Lonchura striata: one gene and its partner. The protein of the gene in region 2 purifies or fractionates together with the protein of the main gene of each other region. This does not show direct contact. Links are inferred from orthologs where the notes say so. Each region holds a gene or a part of one and is shown on either strand. Other genes may lie near its edges.

The links.
Region 1: the proteins of TUBGCP3 (region 2) and NEDD1 purify together in Homo sapiens (affinity purification with mass spectrometry; 3 studies listed by BioGRID and IntAct, with this or other methods). This does not show direct contact. The link is inferred for Lonchura striata from reciprocal best matches to the Homo sapiens genes TUBGCP3 and NEDD1.

What each region holds. Positions count from the first base shown.
Region 1 is NC_134607.1:54,832,571-54,842,047, forward strand, and holds the start of NEDD1 (protein NEDD1), read left to right. Parts: upstream 1-5,770; 5' UTR 5,771-5,864; intron 5,865-6,005; exon of another isoform or gene 6,006-6,027; intron 6,028-6,856; 5' UTR 6,857-6,864; coding exon 6,865-7,000; intron 7,001-8,847; coding exon 8,848-8,942; intron 8,943-9,477. UniProt on the Homo sapiens protein: Required for mitosis progression. Promotes the nucleation of microtubules from the spindle.
Region 2 is NC_134604.1:91,909,719-91,919,185, reverse strand, and holds the start of TUBGCP3 (gamma-tubulin complex component 3), read right to left. Parts: upstream 3,774-9,467; 5' UTR 3,598-3,773; coding exon 3,522-3,597; intron 1-3,521. UniProt on the Homo sapiens protein: Component of the gamma-tubulin ring complex (gTuRC) which mediates microtubule nucleation.

The DNA of each region.
Region 1 (9,477 bases), on a different chromosome or scaffold from region 2:
CCCCTGAAGTTGTATTCTTATCAGCAATTTTAAATTGCTTTTGCAGTTATCAAAAGTTGGTATTATTTTTGAAGTTGAGAATTTTTGGTGGGCCTAAAATGATCACTGAGCTTGTTCTTCTATTCATCTGTTTGGAAACTAGCATTTCAGGTTGTTGAGGGTGCAAGTGATCATTCAGATGTCTTTATAATTTAAAGCATGTTTTTAAAAAACAAAGAAACCCCCTCAACAAAGAAACAACTGCCCCCCTAACAAGACAGTACTAAGAATAAAATGGTACAGTACAGAATATTTTTTATATCATTCTGAAAAGCTAAGGGAACCTTTCTGAATGTTGCTGTAAATATTATTTTGAAGTATTCAAGAAATACAAATGAGTCCTACCAACAGCCATGTGAGGCAATATGCTTGAGCATATTCTCCATCTCAATGGGTGGAGCATCTAAAATGCTCCAGGGTTTGAGATGGAGAATTTGACATGAACAAGTGAATTAGCAGACCAGGGAGGGGCCCTGACCCTTTGGTTTTACTCACATTCCAAATCCAGGCACTCCTTTGTTACTTATATTGATTTGTTTGCAACAAACATCAAAAAAACCCCAGGACATTTGGGCAGGAATCCTGTGAGACTTGTCCTGTAACTAATTATGGTTTTATATTTCCAGGAAAATTCATCATTAATGGTTACCATTCCTGGTCTCATTTCCTGTGAAAAATGCCAGTCCCTTTCACTTCAGTCAGGCACTTCCTGTACTGTAGCTCAGTGATAAAACAATAAACTTTTTGAACTATTTGGAAATTGCAGATTTACCTTGGCTTGTGCTTTTCAGAGAAATATCTGGTTGAGTTTCTTTTTGGGAGGAAGAGGGAGAGAGAGGTAAAATTCTGAATAATGAGTATCCTAAATGTGATCAGTGCAGGAAGAAAGGGAAAAAAAGTTCTCTCCTATTTCTCTTTGGTCCTATAAAAAAAAAAGAAGACTGGATGTATTTGCATTATGTGTAGCTGTTTAAAAGGTGAGCTGTTTTTTATTTTGTGTACACTTTTCTGGAATGCTGTAGGTAGTAGGAAAATTAGAAGGATAATGATACAGTGGTGTAAAGAAAGGGAAAAGTGAGTAATTGATAGGGCAGTTATTTTTGCAAGACAATTTAAAAACTGAGTTAGTATGTTTATTTAACTTGACTGCCTAACAGCCAGTTTGGAGGAGACACTCCTTAGCATTATTCTTTCGTTAAAATAATTTATTATTCTGCAGTTTTTCAAAAAGCAAGAAAGATAAAAATTGACATTACTCATTTTTCTTTTACAAGGAACAAGTAGGAAATTACAGCTTTTACAAAACAAACCAACAAGGTGTTCTGTCTTTTGTTGTGTTTTGAACAAACTAAAAATCTATCTTTTTTTTTTTTTTTTTGGGGGGGGGGTCACCTTGAGGATTATCTTAGGACTTTTATACAGCTTAATTAATATTTGTAAAACATGCTATAGCATCAGGTGAAAATGGAAGAGAAGTTCTATTACAGACAATGTGTTTTTTCAGTGCTGCCTGTTTGGACCTTGTTATATTTCCTATACTTGAAAGAGAAATATTAAATAAAAGCCTTTACCTATTCATTTAAAATACATTACTATACTTACTTTCCTATAATACATATTTTCTGAGATTTTTGTTTTAAAGAAGAATATTATCCTTTAACACACAGCACAGTGAAATAATAACATTAAAATGTTGACCTCACTGTATCCATAGCAGCAGATTTTATTCTTATAAACACAAGATAAAATATTCAATGCAGGTTTTAGAAGAAACATTGGAGAAAACATTTTTCTTTTAGCATATAATTAAACTCTTTAGTTAAAAACTGCTTGTAGGGAGGGAAGCTCATACCTGAATGTCTCCAGTAATCACACAGAAAAAAAAAGTATAAAAGCAATTGCAAAGCAAATTGTTTCTTGGTTATGTATTGCAGTAGTTGGGTGAGGTTTTTGTCCTTAGCAGTAAATGGAGACTAAAGCCTTCAATATGTGAAAGCACAATAGATTTGTGTCAACACCATGCTGAATTAGATTTGTATAGAATCTACTTGTGTCACTGTTTCCAAAATTAAAAAGGAAGAGGAGGAAGGAAGATTTCACTTTGTAAGGGAAGATCTTCCTGCTATGGGAAGTTCCTCTCTATGATCTGCCCCATACAACAATGCCAAAGAGCTACTATTGACAGCTTTGAACCCCTGGCATGTTTACCAATTATTTTCAAATTTTAACTGAAATATTTCTCCATTCTACATCTGTGGAAGGAATGGATAGTGCTTCTCTATCTAATAAATCGAGGGATGGGGCAAGGGAAGAGAGAGAGAAAAAAAAATAGAGAGAAAGCACACTTTGGGGAGAAATTGAAAGATTCTGAAAACAATGACATTTTATCTTCAGTCCATCCCATCAAGTGTGGGACAAGAAAGACCTATAGTAAAAGGAGGTGTTTGGGGTTTTAAAAATATTTCAGTATTTTCTGTTATGTGAACTGAATGAAGCAAAAACACTGAGAAAAAAAACAGCTTCTGGTCCTGTAATTAAAAATTTTATCATCAAGAGCATGCTGGACCTCAAATTGAATTTGAACAGGGAGCTTAACAGTGAAAGGTCTGAATGGATTTTAGAATATTTCAGTTTTCAAATACTCTTTCAATATAGTTTTAAATTATATTGGTGCCTTGAAAGATGTTCTACATTCAAGGCATTCACAGGATTTCTCATGCCTACAAATATACAGTAACTTGAAATTATTTCTGGTTAAATTAATTTTATGATGTGGAAATCAGTAATTTCACACAGATTTATCCAATTGCATGTGACTGGTTTTTAAATTCCACTACAGCTCTGCTACAATTCACAATTTTTTGTTGTCCAAAGTATATATTCATTTTCTGGATGACATCAATCTAACAAAATAATCCTAGTAATTACCCTCACTATGCCTCAGTTTCTTTATCTGAAGATAACAGTAATCCCCTCATCAGTGAGGGATTTTAAGTTTTCTGCAACAACATTTGGAAAATATTTTCAGATCCTTGAATGAAAGAGGAAGGCTATTTATATTATTATTCAGTTGAGACACACTGTAATGGAACAATCATTTGTTTCCAGTCCATTTCAGTGAAATCCGAGAAGGAAGATTCTTTAAAAGAATAATGATGGAGTTAGAATTAATTGTTGGCTAATATGCTGAACTAATTAAACCAGCAGAGAGATGCATTTATGCTTGCCAAAGGTTTTCTTTGAGTTAAAGATACTGAGAACATCATTAAATGAGAAAAGTGAAAATATGAAGCATAGGTTAATCTTTTAAACAGAGTGGGTGAAAGGGTCCAGAGGCAAGTGCTGAAGTCAAATATTTACCACTGCAATTTAATTTTCTACTTTGAAACCCCAGAGCTAATTAGAATTATTCTCATTTATCTACCATCTCAGCATGATTTAGGATTCTACTTAATGTGCAAAGAAAAAAAAGAAAGGCTGTGCTGAAGCAAATGGCACCAAAACTCGGTGTGGAACCAGATGCGCTACCTACAAAATAATCATGAGCTGACTGAGCCAGCCCTATAGTTCTGTGTGGAGGGTGAAAGTCTCTGAAAACACAGAGCACCTACAGGGCTGGTTTAGCTCCTGGCCAGACATTCAGAGTTGAAAAGTACATTTCAGCAACCACCTAAAAATTTCAATGCCCTAGGCAAAGCTCCTTGCTTTTTGGCAGTGATGATTTCTTCATTCCCTGTGAATTCTGGCATCATACAGCTACTATACAGCAGAGCTAGCAGAGAAAGTCAAGATCCTGTCTATCATATGAAATTACTGTATATATTTTATCATCATATAATGTATTAGTTATCTCTATCCCATTATCACATTCCTATGGTTCCACTACCAAATGGGATAATACCAACTTTTAAGTGGTTTCCAAACCACTCTAAAAAATTATTATAACCATAAAGAAATTAATGTCTTTTTTTCCCTAGTGTCCTGACTGCTCTTATTCCCTGGAACTCTGTGGCTTATCCTTCAGAACCTAATGTCACTGCCTCTACAATGAAAAACTTTTTTATGGGCAAAGAGGAAACCTATGTATGTTTAAAGGCAAAATGTATTAGCATAATTGAAATCTTAGCCTAATCCAAGAATTGTTATCCAGGTCTAATTATTACGGGAAAAGAAAGAATATTTCTATGTGGAAAAAGTTGTAATAATAATAGTCGTAATAATACAGTTAAAATATTATATAAACTATTTTTGTCTCTCTTCACCTGTGTATTGCTCACACTCCCACTGCTTTTACAGCCTTGCACAATTGCTGGGAATGCTCTGCCTTGCACCGATGGCCTTTCAGCAATAACACCACTTTGGCTTTAATGGTTGGGCTTAGAGCTGTGATCCTTTCCACAAATGGAATGCACCAACGTGTCCCAGTGGTTCCTTGCAAATACCAAGAACAAGCACAGCACAGGCACTGGCATAAAAAAAATGCCAGCAAAGGTCCTGCCAGCAGGAAAAATTGATTTAACTGAGGGCCTGTTACAGAATGAAGGAAAACATGCTGATCGTGTTTACTTAAAATCCCCCAAATTGTTAATTGTTCAAGGCTTCAGGGCTTGTCAGGCAGGTGCTCTCCTATCTGTCTGTAAAAACAATTATGCTCCACTGTGAGGAGATAAGGAAAAAAAGCCAAAGGATATGGCTGTGGTAAAGAAAAGGCTTTAGATTCTCTCTGTACTGAAGCTAGAATGGAATAACAAGTGCTGGGCTCAGAAGTGAAACATGACAGGTTTAGTAGCAAATTAGGACTCTAAAATGGAGCGAGAGTAGAAAACTTGCAGGAATGCTGTGGATCCCTTAACACTCAGCTGAGAAGGCAGGTGGTTGAAGATATAAATTATAACTAATGATTGGTTAATGAGGATTAATAGATGCAATAAAGACATGATCCTCAATGCTGTAGGGAAATAATGGCATTTTTTGTAACAGTGCCATGATTTATTTTCTCCTGATTCTGAGTGCATTTCCAGAGACTAGATATTAAATGAACTTGGAAAATCAAGACTCCATCAGAAAAGGAAAGTAAATCAGGCATTTCAGCTCGACTGGCTCTGAGGGTACACAGGGTGAAGCCTCGCTCAAAGGCAGATCTCTACAGAAAATTTTGTTAAAGTTCCACGTGGAATATATCTTTGAATTTAGTATATGTTGTTGTGTTTTGGGGTAGAAAGCAGGAGTGCAAACATGTATCACCGCGAAGCACTGCTACCTTTTATTTTACCGGATGAAAATAACAACAAAGTCCCTCCTCCTGTAAATTTCAGCATGACCAGGGTAACAGTTCTATTGCAAGTCAGGACACAGACGCCGCAGTTCTCTATTACTCGCTGTTACAGGAGTGATGCATTAACTGCTATCATTTATTGCGCTCTGTCGCCGTGATGTCCCGGTGTCCCAGATGTGCGGAGACCCCAGATGCAGCCGGACGCCTTTTGCTCAGCGCTGGAATCTCCAAACGCGGCAGAGGCGGCGCCCCTCAGCCCGCTCCGGCGGGTTCTCAGCGCGGCCCGCGCCCCGCCCTTCAGCCGCTGCCGGGCCCCCGCCCTGCCCGCCCCGCCCCGCCCCGCCCGCGCGCGGCCCCTCCGCGCCGCCGTAGCGCGGGCAGCGGCGCGCGGGGGCTGCCGGGACGGGGCGCGTGAACTCGGGCGCGGCGCGGCAAGCCGGGCCCGGCGGGGCGGGCGGAGCCGGAGCCGGGCCGGGCCCGTCCCTCAGGCGGCGCTGGGCCGGGCCTCGGGGCGAGCAGCGCGGGCTCGGCCCGGTGCCCGCCCGGCCAGGTGCGCGGTGCCGCGGGGAGAGCGCGGGAGCGGGCCGGGGCCGGGGCCGGGCGGTGGCGAGGGGCGGGGTGCGCCGGGCGGCTCCTCCCGCGGCCTCCGCGGCGGGAGGCGAGCTCTGTGTGAGGCGGCAGCGCGGCCCCGCGGGCTGCTGCCCACTGAAGGCGTATGTGGACCCTGAACTTCTTGTGCAGTTTTGAGTGTTAACAGTCCCGGCAGTAAGAATGAATGGCCTAAAGCTGTGTGAAGCGTCCCGCAAGCTTTGGCCAAGGGGCGTTTGTGTTCTCAGCTGAAGGGAAAGCTCACGTTTATAGTCCTCGTCTGTTGATAGTTTAAAATTATCAGGAGTAAAAAGCTGAGAGTCAGCGCTTCAAACCAGGCACCGGTTAACCTGGCTTGAAGTCTTAAAAGGTGTCACTCAAAATAAGTAGCAGTACAATGCTCTTGGCCTTTTTGGTTCGTAATGTTTTGTAAGGTGCGATGTAAGGTGACTCGCTGTCGCTTGTATTCTGCTGTCAAAGGTTTAGTTTAAAGGATTCTCGGATGTCTTTGGAGTAGTGAGATGAACGCTGAAGTGAGTCCTTTAGGTCCGCACTGCCCGCCTTGCCCTGCAACAGTTTGATTCTGGTTTGTATATCCCCATCTGCTGGTGGGAAATGGGCCCTTCAGATACTCAGGGCTTCCTGGTAGGCAGCTGTGAGCTGTGGAGATAAAGGCTTCATTTTAGTCTCTTCATGCCGTAGAGGGCCTGGCTTTGTGAGAAAGAAACCACGCGTTTCCTTCCGGAGTTTAAGTAGCAAAAACTTGGAGTGTCTGATGCTTTCGTTTGTGTGTGCAGCTGAACGGTACTAACTGTTTAACTCAAAATAAATGGTGCAGTTATCAAGAAAACTTTAACTGTATCTTTTAAAATTGTAATTTTGAATTGTTAGGTTGCCTGGTTGATTTTTTAGTTTTATGTATTTTCACTTATTAATTTATTTCTGCCAAAACAGGTGCAGCCATGCAAGAAGGCATACGTTTTGCATCATCAGGAGATGATATTAAAATATGGGATTCTTCATCTTTCACTGTGGTGGAACAGTTCAACCCACATACGCCCTCACATCCAGTCAGTTCACTGTGCTGGGCCAGCAATAGTATCCTTTACAGTTTCAGCCATATTTCTGTGGGTGTTCTGCAAAATTCCACTGTTTCTTTTTCTTTCCTTTTTTTACAGAAATGTTTGTAAAACACAGGCCTGATGTATTTTGAAGTCTTGCATAAAAATATTGGTATCTGTTTTGACCAAAGTTTTGTGGTTCCTTGTGCTGAAGAGATTTACAGAATGAGATCATGATGGTAAATAATTCTGAAGAAGTTTCTTAGCTCGGGAACCCACACTTTTTTAATGGCTGTAATGTGCCTGAATTGCCTGCCAACTGTAAACCTTACACATTTGTTTCTTCAGTAGTTGATTATGATGTTTGCTTTCAAGATGGTGCCTAATTAACTGACAAGCTTGAGCAAAGCAACTGCTGGTGTAGTAAAATTCTATACATAGTATAGTGAGGAAAATTATAATTATTTTTTTTTTTTCCATAGGACAGCTTCTCGTTGATTCTGACAATCATTGATAGTGTTCATTTACCTCTAAGCACTGGTTTTCTTTCTATTCTTTGTAAGCATTTTGAGAGGAAACACAAACCTATTGTTGTGTAGGAAAACATTCACTGGGTGGTGGTGGTTTGTCATCAAAATGGATCTGACCCATTTAGGTCTTTCACCTCTGACTTGGAAGCCAAGGAAGTCTTGGATAATGATACGAGGGGCCAAGTGGTAGATGAAGATATGAGAACTTTCAGTGGGCTGTCAGGTAAATGACTTGTGTGGCTGTCACAGGAGAAGGTGGTGGTGTCTCATCTTGACGTAGGAGGCCAGGATGCTGGCACACAGCATACGAGTCCTGCAAGTTCTGAATGTCTGTCCTCAAAGTTAACGTATGAGAATAAAAGGTTACACCAATTGGAACACAAATGAATGTTTTAGCTATGGAGCTTGCAGAGAATTTGAAGCACAGATGTAATGTTTTCATGTGTATGCATACACACTAGTATGTGTTTAGTAAACTTTTATCTACAGTCTGTCTTAACATGCTTTAATCAAGTCTCCTCTTCATCTCCCAACACTGAATATTTGTTAGCTTGTTAAGGATAAAGCATTAGTTCTGGTTACGCATAGTTATGTAAAATTATACAAACGTGCCGTAAAATAGTGACAGCAATAGCAAACACTACTCTGCCTACTGGTTCTGTTGTGTTAAATCCAGCCAATTAACCTGTGTTATTCTTTAATGAGCTAATGCAAAGTCACAATGGGCATTGGCCAGAAGACTGATTACTCAGTTTGTTTGGTGATGGTGGAGATGCAGTTTTCCTGCTCTGTAATTCTATAAATGTTCTTATTACTTTGGAGTACTTGGATTCATAACAGGTTATTTTTGGGATTTTGTTTTTCTTCTCTCAGTACAGAGTCGGGGAAACCGGCAACTGCTCTTTGTACTCTAGAAACTGTGTAGTGAAGTAGTCTGACATTTGTCATGACCAGGACCATTCTTTAAATCCATAGTCTGCTAACAGCCACAGACACTCCTTTGAACTAGTGATAAATGGTGCTCATACTTGGGGGTGTGGGGAAACAGAATTGTAGACTGGATAAGCTGCCTTAGTGGTAAAGAGCTCTTAAATAATACCTGGCAGATTTTTCTCGTCTTTTCTATCAAAGAAATTGCTGTCTGTCTTGTATTGGCAAGTAAGGGCTGTAGTTAATTTAAGAGCTTCTTAATGAAAGCTTGGAAAATGGCCTTATGTTTCTGTTTCTAGGTCCCTCCAAGGTCCAGTGCTTTAGACTGTGTAGCCAATCTGTCTTCTGTTCAATAAGGGAAACTTCCTGTTGCTTGTATTAATCACCAGTATCCTACAATTATGTTCCTTAACTTGTGACAAAGATAGATACCTGGCTACTGCTTCTGCTGCTGGTGATAAAATAATTGTTTCAAGCTGTAAAAGCAAACCTGTCCCACTCTTTGAAATAGCTGAAGGAGTAAGTATACCCTCATTTTTTCCCCAGTTCACTTGATATTCTTTGTGTCTCACATCTGTTCTGCATATTGGGGTCAATATAATTTTAGTATTGTTAGAATTATGACATGTACATAAAAACATTTCCTTGTGTATTGTTAAACACATATAAAGATTGGGGGCAATAGTGCTTTTAAAACAGCTCTGTCAGTAAGAAGATACAGATGCAGTTATTGAAATGTGATCACTTGGGGCAGTCATGGTTCAGATGTGATCTAATGTGTAGGAGATGGACTAGCTCAAGTTTGAACTTCATTTTCTAGCTTGAGCTGTCAGTATTTGCATGCCTATGAATTGTACACTGGAAAATATAAGAGTCTATGGAAGGGTTGTTCTTGGAGCGTACATGTGCCAGCTTGCATTGCAAGAAACAAGAGAATTTGTGTTGTGTTCAAGGCTTTTGTTTTGCTTAGTTAAAAAGAAGTGTGGCACTTCAAAAAGCTGGACTTAGTTTTAGAAGAGTCTCTTCACATGGTCACTTAAATAGCTTGTTAGTG
Region 2 (9,467 bases):
TTACCGCCTTCAGATACTGCATCTTCCTCAACACAGAGGATGCTAGTGCTAACAGAATTACTTCATTGTCTTTTATGTATTCCTTGGACATAGATTATCAGGAGGTGGGAAAAAAACCACCACACACACCTTTCATGACTAAGACTTTCACAGAATTTTTAATTTATCAGTCTCTATGCATTTGAAGTCCACAACTGAGCTAACATACATACTACAGTTGACTGCTTCAAGGAAAATCCTATCTCAGAAGGGTGAGGTTTCAGCACTAGCATCCTTCTTAACACAGGAATGAAGAGCATGGTAAGAACAGGCTTCCCATCTGTCACATGCATTAAAACATGGGTGATAAATGTGGCAGACAACCCACTTTTTTTCAGCTGTCACTTCAAAGAAGTCCTCATATAATCCTCAAGTGCGCAGACGAGCAGGCTACAGGTTGAACACTGAAAGCTCCTGTGATTTTGGCCGAAATTTCCACTTTCATTAGTCAAACACAGAAAGGATTGTAGCTACAGTACCAGAATCCCAACACACATAAACAGGTTCAACATTTTAAAAAACATAAATACCCAATTCTCTTGCATGTTTTTGTACATACTGCATGTAAATAAAATTATTATTCCAGTCAGGAGATACAGAGAGGTATCAACACTATGACTTCAAAAAAAAAACTAGATCCTAAGTTGTTAAAAGTGAGCCATCTCACCTGAATACTCATACTTCAGTTGATACTCAGAAGTTTCTACTTCTGCTCTCATGCTCTGTTTAACTTTTTAAAGTATCACAGACCTAGATAACACTAAGAAACAAGCTTAGATTGAGTTTAGATTAGACTCCAAATCTAAGAAAAGAGTAATGAAGAAAACAGGACTAGACATTATAGAAATAATGGCCTTGAAAAGACATCCACTAAAGCAATATAATCTATTTTCCTTTTTTTTTTTTTTAATTTGTTTTTGGAAATAGACCTAGTAATTAGCACAATAATTTGAGATTTCTGGTAGCAAATGTTTGAAATACTCTTAAACAAGAACATATATTAATTGTATCAGAAAAAAGTTTCTGAAAAATGTTAAAGGCAAGAAAGAGCTTTAAAAAAAAAAGCTAGAAGAGCACCTTAGAACTGTAGTCTGATGTAAAGTATCCTTTAAAATACAGTTAAAACACCTGCTAAAAGAAAGATGTGGTTACAGAAGAACACAAGAGGCATTAAACCATTAAGAAACTACTGCTGATTTGGTGGACATGGAAAACTAGAAATTTGCCACATTCTGATAAAATCTTATAACAGGAATTCCTGATACAGAAATACTATAGATTCTGGGGAAAAAAATACTGTCTTGCAGAAGACTTAAAAATGCAATGGAGAAGGAAAAGATTTTGAAAAACAAAACATAGCAATCAACAGCTATTGATATTAGAATTATTCACGTTGAAAAAGACCCTTAATATCGTAGAGTTACACAGAGTGTTTTCTGTGAAGGAGTCCCCTACTCAACAGGTCAGTGAAGACAAAGTTTCCAATTTCCTACCAACTTTACCAAGGTTCTCAGATGAATCACAAGATGGTTTGGACTGGATGGGACTTTCAAAGACCATCTAGTCCACTTTCCCTGACATGGGTAGGGACATCTTTCACTTGATCAGGTTGCTCAAAGCCCCATTCAATCTGGCCTTGAACATTTCCAAGGATGGGATTCACAAAGCCTCTGGGCAACCTGTTCCAGTGCCTCACAACCCCAACTGTAAAAACTTTATTCTCTGTGTCCAATCTAAACATACCCTATAACTGTTTAAAGCCATTGCCCCTTGTTCTGTCACTTTAGGCCTTGGTTAAACATGTCTTTCTTATAAGCCCTCTCTAAGCACCGCAAGGCCACAGTGACATCTCTGAGCAGAGCCTTCTCCAGGATCAACAGCCCGAACTCTCTCAGATCTGCTTTGTAGGAGAGGTTCTCCATTCCTCTCACCACTTCCATGGCACTCCTCTGGACCTGCTCTAATACATCTACATCCTTTCAGAACTGGGGGCCCCAGAGCTGAATACAGTACTGCAGATGGGGTTTCACAAAAGCAGAGCAGTGAGGGGAGGATCACTGCTCTCTACCTGCTGTCCATGCTTCTTTTTAAGGAGCTCAGAATATGCTGACCAGGATACACATTACTGCCTCATGTCCAATTTTTCATCCACTCCCCACATCCTTCCCTGCAGGACTGCCCTCAATCCACTTATTCCCCATTCTCAACAGATATTGGGGATTGCCTCAACTCACGGGCATAAGCTTGAGGTTTACACAGGTGTGCTCCTCAAGGCTGTCAAGGTCTTTCTGCATGGCACTACCTTCCCTCAGCACATCACCTGCACTGCTCAGCTTGGTGTCATGTGCAAACCTTCCAAAGGCACTCTCAAGCCCACTGTCTATGTTATTAATAAGATATTGATCATGATTAATCCCAATACAGACCTCTGAGGGACACCACTTGCTACTGATCTTCATTCCGACATTGACACAGTGACTACAACTCCTTGGATGTGGCCATGCTACCAGTTTCAGTTCCTCATTCACTAAACAGTTCATCCATTAAGCCTATAGCTCTCCAACTGAGAGATAACGACGGGGTGTGAGACCATGCCATGCTGTCTGCAACAGATGGGAACAAAGTCTGAGAAACAGACAATATATGTATCTGCATCTTGTTACACACTTTCTAGAGTCCTAAACTAGCAATAATCCACATGTAGGCCATGTTCAAGTAATTTATTACAACAGGTAATGCTCAAAAGTCTTAGTTACTGTCCTGGAAATATCTAAAGGGATTTTTCAGAAGAAAGGGGCATGGAGAGAGAAAAGAATAAGAGACCTGATGGACACTACTAATAAGGGAGAAAGCCATCTCTCATACAAGAAAAAAGATGCAATAAAAGCTTCTGCATGAGTTTATCTAGCGAGCCACGCTGATAAACAGAGCAATTTAAAAAGAAGACTCCGCAGATGCACGCCTTCCTTTCCACCCCTCCGACTGCTTACTAAAAACAGTCTTCGCCTTAACTGCAAGGGAGAAACTTAGGCAAACAGACAAGAGATTCATTGCCCTGCGGGAGACTCACAGCAGCATCAAGACACGAGGACCTGTAGCGGACCTGGCGCACGTCTATGGCTCCTCTCGAGCAGGCACCGGCGGGAGGCGGAGGTTCCTCAACCCGAACACGGAGCCCCCTTTCGCCCAAACCCCCGGCACGGGTGCCCCGCTCCCCGAGGAGGACAGCGCCTTCAGCAGCCGGCCAAAGGCTCCGGGGGAGCCGGAGGAGGGCACGGAGCCGTCTCCAGCCGCCTCCCGCCGCAGGGCTCCGGCTCGCAGGGCCGCTGCCGTGCCCGGCCCCTCGGCATTTCCCGGGCTGTCACCCCCGGGCCGGGAGGTGACGCTCCCTGCCGAGGGGCCCGGCACCTCTCCAGCCCTGCCGGGGCAGCCCCCGCGGGCTCCGAGCGCTGCCGCCGGGCGATGGCGGGGGACGCCGTTACCTTCGCTCTTGCCCAGGATGCGGCAGCAGAGGCTCTGCAGCAGAACGTTGGGGGATTTTTGGTCCGGAGTCGCCATCGCCGCGCGGGATGCAGGAGCGGCGGCAGGGCCGGAGCAGGGCGGGTTGGCGGAGGGAAGGAGGGGCCGGGACGCGCGGCGGCAGCGCAGGGACCGGGCGGCACCTCCCGCTCCCGCCTAGGGCGCCATTTTCACGGGACCCGCCGAAAGCCGCAGCCGCGGCCGCACGCCCACAATGCCCCGCGCGGCGGTTCCGGGGCGGGCCCGCGCCGCCTCCGCGCCTGGGCGCCGGCCCGGGTGCCGGCAGCCGCCCGCCCTCACAGCGCGCGGTCTGCGGCGCGGTCTGCGGCGGGGCCGGCGTGCCGGCGTGCCCGAGTGCCGGCGTGCCCGAGTGCCGGCGTGCCGGAGTGCCGGAGTGCCGGCGTGCCGGAGTGCCCGAGTGCCGGAGTGCCCGAGTGCCGGCGTGCCCGAGTGCCGGCGTGCCCGAGTGCCGGAGTGCCGGAGTGCCCCAGTGCCGGCGTGCCCGAGTGCCGGCGTGCCCGAGTGCCGGCGTGCCGGAGTGCCCGAGTGCCGGAGTGCCCGAGTGCCGGAGTGCCCGAGTGCCGGAGTGCCCGAGTGCCCGAGTGCCGGAGTGCCCGAGTGCCGGAGTGCCCGAGTGCCCGAGTGCCGGAGTGCCGGAGTGCCCGAGTGCCGGCGTGCCCGAGTGCCGGAGTGCCCGAGTGCCCGAGTGCCGGAGTGCCCGAGTGCCCGAGTGCCGGAGTGCCCGAGTGCCGGCGTGCCCGAGTGCCCGAGTGCCGGAGTGCCCGAGTGCCGGAGTGCCCGAGTGCCCGAGTGCCGGAGTGCCCGAGTGCCGGAGTGCCCGAGTGCCCGAGTGCCCGAGTGCCGGAGTGCCGGAGTGCCGGCGTGCCCGAGTGCCGGAGTGCCCGAGTGCCGGAGTGCCCGAGTGCCCGAGTGCCGGAGTGCCCGAGTGCCGGAGTGCCCGAGTGCCGGCCTTCTCCGGCCACCGCGGGCAGGAGCGAAAAGCCTTGATGGTGGGCTGCCAGAGGCCTTCGGATGTGGGGTTGCGGAACGTAGACACGGATGCAGAGTAGTCCTCTTGCCAAAAGAGGTTCTTTAACCCGGTGTGCTAGAGGCTAATACACACAGAGTCGAGGTATTTGATTTATTTACAGTTCTGCACTGAAAGGGGTCCTGGGTAGCAAATTCGCAAAGCCCAACCATCAAAAGCTTTTTTTACTATCATCCTAACTATCAAAATATTTTACTATTTATCCATTTTAGTAAACAAAGGAATTAATGTTTCTTGGCTACAAGTTACGTAGTTCTGTTCTTAATTAGTATTCTATATTCTATATTCATGGTTCCATTGCTTCTCATCCTTATTAGTCCACATTTTCAGTCTTCTTTTGAGAGTCGGTGGCTGTGAGTCAGGGGTCACAATCTCGTCCTGCCAGAATTACCTTTTACCCAGTCGGAGCTGATTTCAGCACAGTTGCTGAGTTTGCTTTGTTATTTACTTCTTGATCTTGGAAGTTCTGCTAGATGTCCTTGTGACATCTCAATTCTGCATTCTTTGTGTGCACCGTCAGTGGTATATTCTTCTTCCCAAGTTTGGTTAACCTCCCCCGGGTCTGAGGTCATTGAAACATATCGAGCCCTAACCTTAACAAAGCAATTCTTCCAACAACTAATTTGTCTTTCTAACACCTGGACATTGCTTACAGCTTCTTAGTTGCTCTCTGTTTCACAGATTAAATCTCCTTTTCTTGTTGTTGTTTAGGCTTGAAAGTATACAAAGATCAAACAGCAGAGAACACCCTTTCTTCAGAAATATTTACATATTCCACATTTTGCAACAATCCCACAATAGCCATAAGTGCTACATACAGACATCCTCACAAACATAACATAAAAGCGCTGAAAAGGAACATAGCCAGGGAAAAGAAAAATTCTAAAGTATAAACTGAGGGAATGACAGGAACAACCATTAGATTGTTGAAACTCAATTCTTTTTTGTTATTTACCCATTAAATTTTGCCCAATTACATCACTACCTTATATTTTACATTCAAAGCCGGCTAACTACACAAATGGTTTAAGATGAAGATATTCACCTTGTTACGAATTTTTACTAGAGATTTCCCAACTAAATTTGAAGATCTCACAGGTATCTAAGGGTTTTGCCCCCACACTCCATAGAAGTAATTGAACATGGTGAATGAATTACTTATGGGCAGGGCAGGTTCACTTACTCCCCCCAGAGAACAGGCTGGGGTGGCTGCATTTCTGTGATTTGCTGCCTTGGGGATCGAGGCTCATTTGTGGCTTTTCCACACAAAGTAATTACAAATCAGGGTGGGTCTGGAAAAATGTGTGAGGATCCTAGACCCACGTGTCCATGTCCTGCTGTGCTGTGCAGCTGGGTGTCCTCAGTCCCTGTGGAGGGCCTGGGCTCTGCCTGCTGGGCAGCACTGGGACCAGGGACAGCACGCTCACAGCTGGTCTGCTCTGCTCCCTGTGACCTGCTCCTCAGGCTTGTCACCCCTAGCACAGACACTGATGTTACCAGGTGTCTGAGTTCTATCTCTTCAGTAAATTCATGCTGTGTCCAGCCCAAAAGGCATACTTAGGAAGTAATTATTACCCTTGTGCTGCTGGAATCCTGTGTAACCTGTGACTGGAAATGCTGCAGCAGCAGCAGCCAGGTGGGCTTGGTGCACTGCTGGCTGTGAAATCATTCCTGCTGTGCAACGCGTGGCTTTCTGACAGCTCCCCTTGGCTTCACTGTTTCCATAGCCACAATTTTGTGTGTATGCTTTCTGCAGGCATGTAGACATGGCCTTTCATTATGGGAACATTACAGATGTAAACATCAGCTCATTGCTAGCATGACTGCTAGAAACAAATCACAGTGGCAAGCCAAGAACTGAAACACATTGAGGATGTATGGCAATTTGTTGCTTGGCATATACTAGTAGAAACCTTCATAGTCTAATTACTCACACTAGAACTCTTCAGTTCTTAGTGATACATTCTTTGCATTTTTTAAAGAAGTAAAATAGGACCCAAAATGAATAAAGTTACCAGAACTTTACCCTATGTAAATATGAATTGTAAGCTTAATTTTCAATAATTCTGAAGTAAAGGCTTCAAAGATGGTATAAGCTTGTAAGCTTTCTTTGTTTTTTTTTTTTTTTGGTACTGAACAGCAGAAGAGTCTCTGTTCCATTTTTCTGCCCAAAGCACACGCAGTTGTGCTACAAAGGGCTGGTGACTCACCACTGCTGCTAGTCACTTCAGATTTTAGATTCCACCGTGGAAGGTGTTAATCTAGCAAGCAGCAAATATGGTTCTCACATGAGGCAAAAGAAATAACCTCGGCAATTATATCTGGAAGTGGTATTCCTTTATAAAACCTTAACATTCCAAGGGAATCCAGTCACTGACAAATATCCTGCTACTGCTTTTAAGTGGATATTACTTTCTGGTCACACTAGTTCATTTTAACTAAAGCAATTGTGTCACTGGTCTGAAATCAGAACACATTACAGAGCAGCATGATGAGAAAATGCCATTGAAATGGGTGTGCTCATTGCCTCCTGCAAGCAGCAGTAAAAACACAAACCCAAGCTTTTCAACTTCAACACAACCACATGCTATGTTATGTCACACTATGAAGTAGTGTGATAGCCAGCCATTCTGTTACATTACTGAGAATGTATTCTCTCATTTCTAGTCTCTTTTTCCTAAGAAATGAGGTTTAATGCAGTTATTCTGTATGTCAGTGCCTCCTCATAACTGCTGGATCTCATCACCAATTTTAAAGAAATTCAGCAGAGGCATAGAGTTTTTAAGGATATAAGTAAAATTGAATGGAATTCAGCAGCTGAGAGTACCAAGGCTTAAGTCAGTCCCCCTTTGAAAAAGAAAGGTATGGGGAACTTACTTCTCCCTGCTGTTTGCCCTTAGCAAAGCAGCTGATTGGTGTGTACACACCCTGGACAGATAGACACACATCCTAGCTCCAATCCACCTACAGTACCAGCTCTGCTTGCCCAGCTTGGTGGATGGATGATTTAAGAACTGAAAGTGGAAGGGACTGGAACTCTGAACATAATGCGGAAAATGGTCAGAAAGAGACAAGACGAATGGAAAATAGAAGGAAACTAAATTTGATTAGTGTCATTCCTCACAGACCTCCTTGTTTGTTTTGTAATAGAAAGAATGAATCCTAAAATCCTGTTTAGAAATGCTAATTCTGATAGAGCAGGTTGCTAGCACATGAAATTCATTGTGGTTTTATGAACTCTGGTACAGCTATGACTGCTTAAATCAGCTTAAAAAAATCACATTACCAATGAGAAAAAGAAATATAAACTACTTTCTTACTGTATAGCTATAAGCTTAGTTCACCTTTCTGCTTGGTCTCTCAACCATTGGACAATTAAAAAAAAGTTACTGCTGCTCAGATTTTTCACAGTATAGAGTGTTCATCAGTTAGCAGAGTTAAATGTGTGTTTTTAAAATTATCACAGTATCTTACAAGAAAATCAGCTCATCCTTAGAAGGTCAAAGGGACTTGTGTTTCAGATCTGCTACTTAAAGATCATATTTCTGATAGTAAATAGTTTTATAAGGAAAGAACATGCCATCAGATCCAGCAGGAGGTGGAAGCTGAAGCTTGCCAAAGTAAGGCTAGAAATAAATGACAGTTTTAATTAAATAAGGATATTCACTCACTAGAGATAGATATTTAAAAGCATGGCTTTATTAATACCTGAAACATTTTAAATCACCCTTCTGGTACAGGCCTAGTCAGATATGAACTGACATGGGAGCTGCTGAATTATGTTTCCATTCTGCACAAGCTCAGAAGCTCAGTCTGCAGTGTATCATTGTCTACTTCAATCTTAAATAGTCTAAATCAAATCAATAGTACTAAGCAAAAAAAAAAAAAAAATCTTATCCTTACAAAAAAACTAAGGGTTAATTGTGCTGGTTTTGTGAACTCTTCTTTGGTTATGCCTACAGGGCACAATACCTTAGACACACCAAAAGCAGTAGGGAATCATTCTTAACACCTCCAGCATTTCACTGTTCTGAACAGATTTTTTTATGTGTCATGTAGCCAATGTTAAGAATTACAGTGGCTGGAAATAGGGATGGATACTGCCTGTGCCTTAGCTAGCATATGGCTGCCCTGGAAGTACAGCAGCTGGGCCTCTTCTGGCTCCAGCACCATGTGGTTTCTGCCCCTAAGCATGTATTTTCCACATAGGCAATCTCAATATGGCCTAGAGCTATGCTGTGTCTGCAGCATTAAAAGGGTATTAGACTGATCTAATTTTTGAAAGGCCATATGTTTTTGGATGATATTCTGTGACTCAGTTGCAGATAGATGTCCCTGTGCACAAGTGCAGCTCAGATGAAGAGAGCATTTAATCCAGTTTAACCCTCTTGCTCATGTTAGTTCTGCATTGCAGCCTATTTGTTGTGAATTTCATTATATCGATACCACTTCTCCATTTTCAAACTCTGGACTTCAGCTGTTCCCCTATTGACTAGGGAACCTGAAGTACATTCCATAATGCCATATACTTACAGAAAGTCTACTGAATTGGTGTTAGTCTATCAAAAAAGAAACTTCTGTTTCCCTATACTTAAAGAGAGGCCAGAAACTATGATTTAAGCTATGTAAGAGCAAAACAAAGATATATTTTTTTTTTAATTTGGGATTTTTATTCAACACTTACAATAAAATAGCAATTTTAGATTGCAGAATCATAGAATGGGTCAGGGTGGAAATGACCATAGCGGGTCATCTGGTCCAATCTCCCTGCTCAAGCAGGGTCATCCTAGAGCACTTAGCATGGGACTGTGTGCAGATAGTTCTTCAATATCTCCAGTGAGGGAGACTCCACACCCTCTCT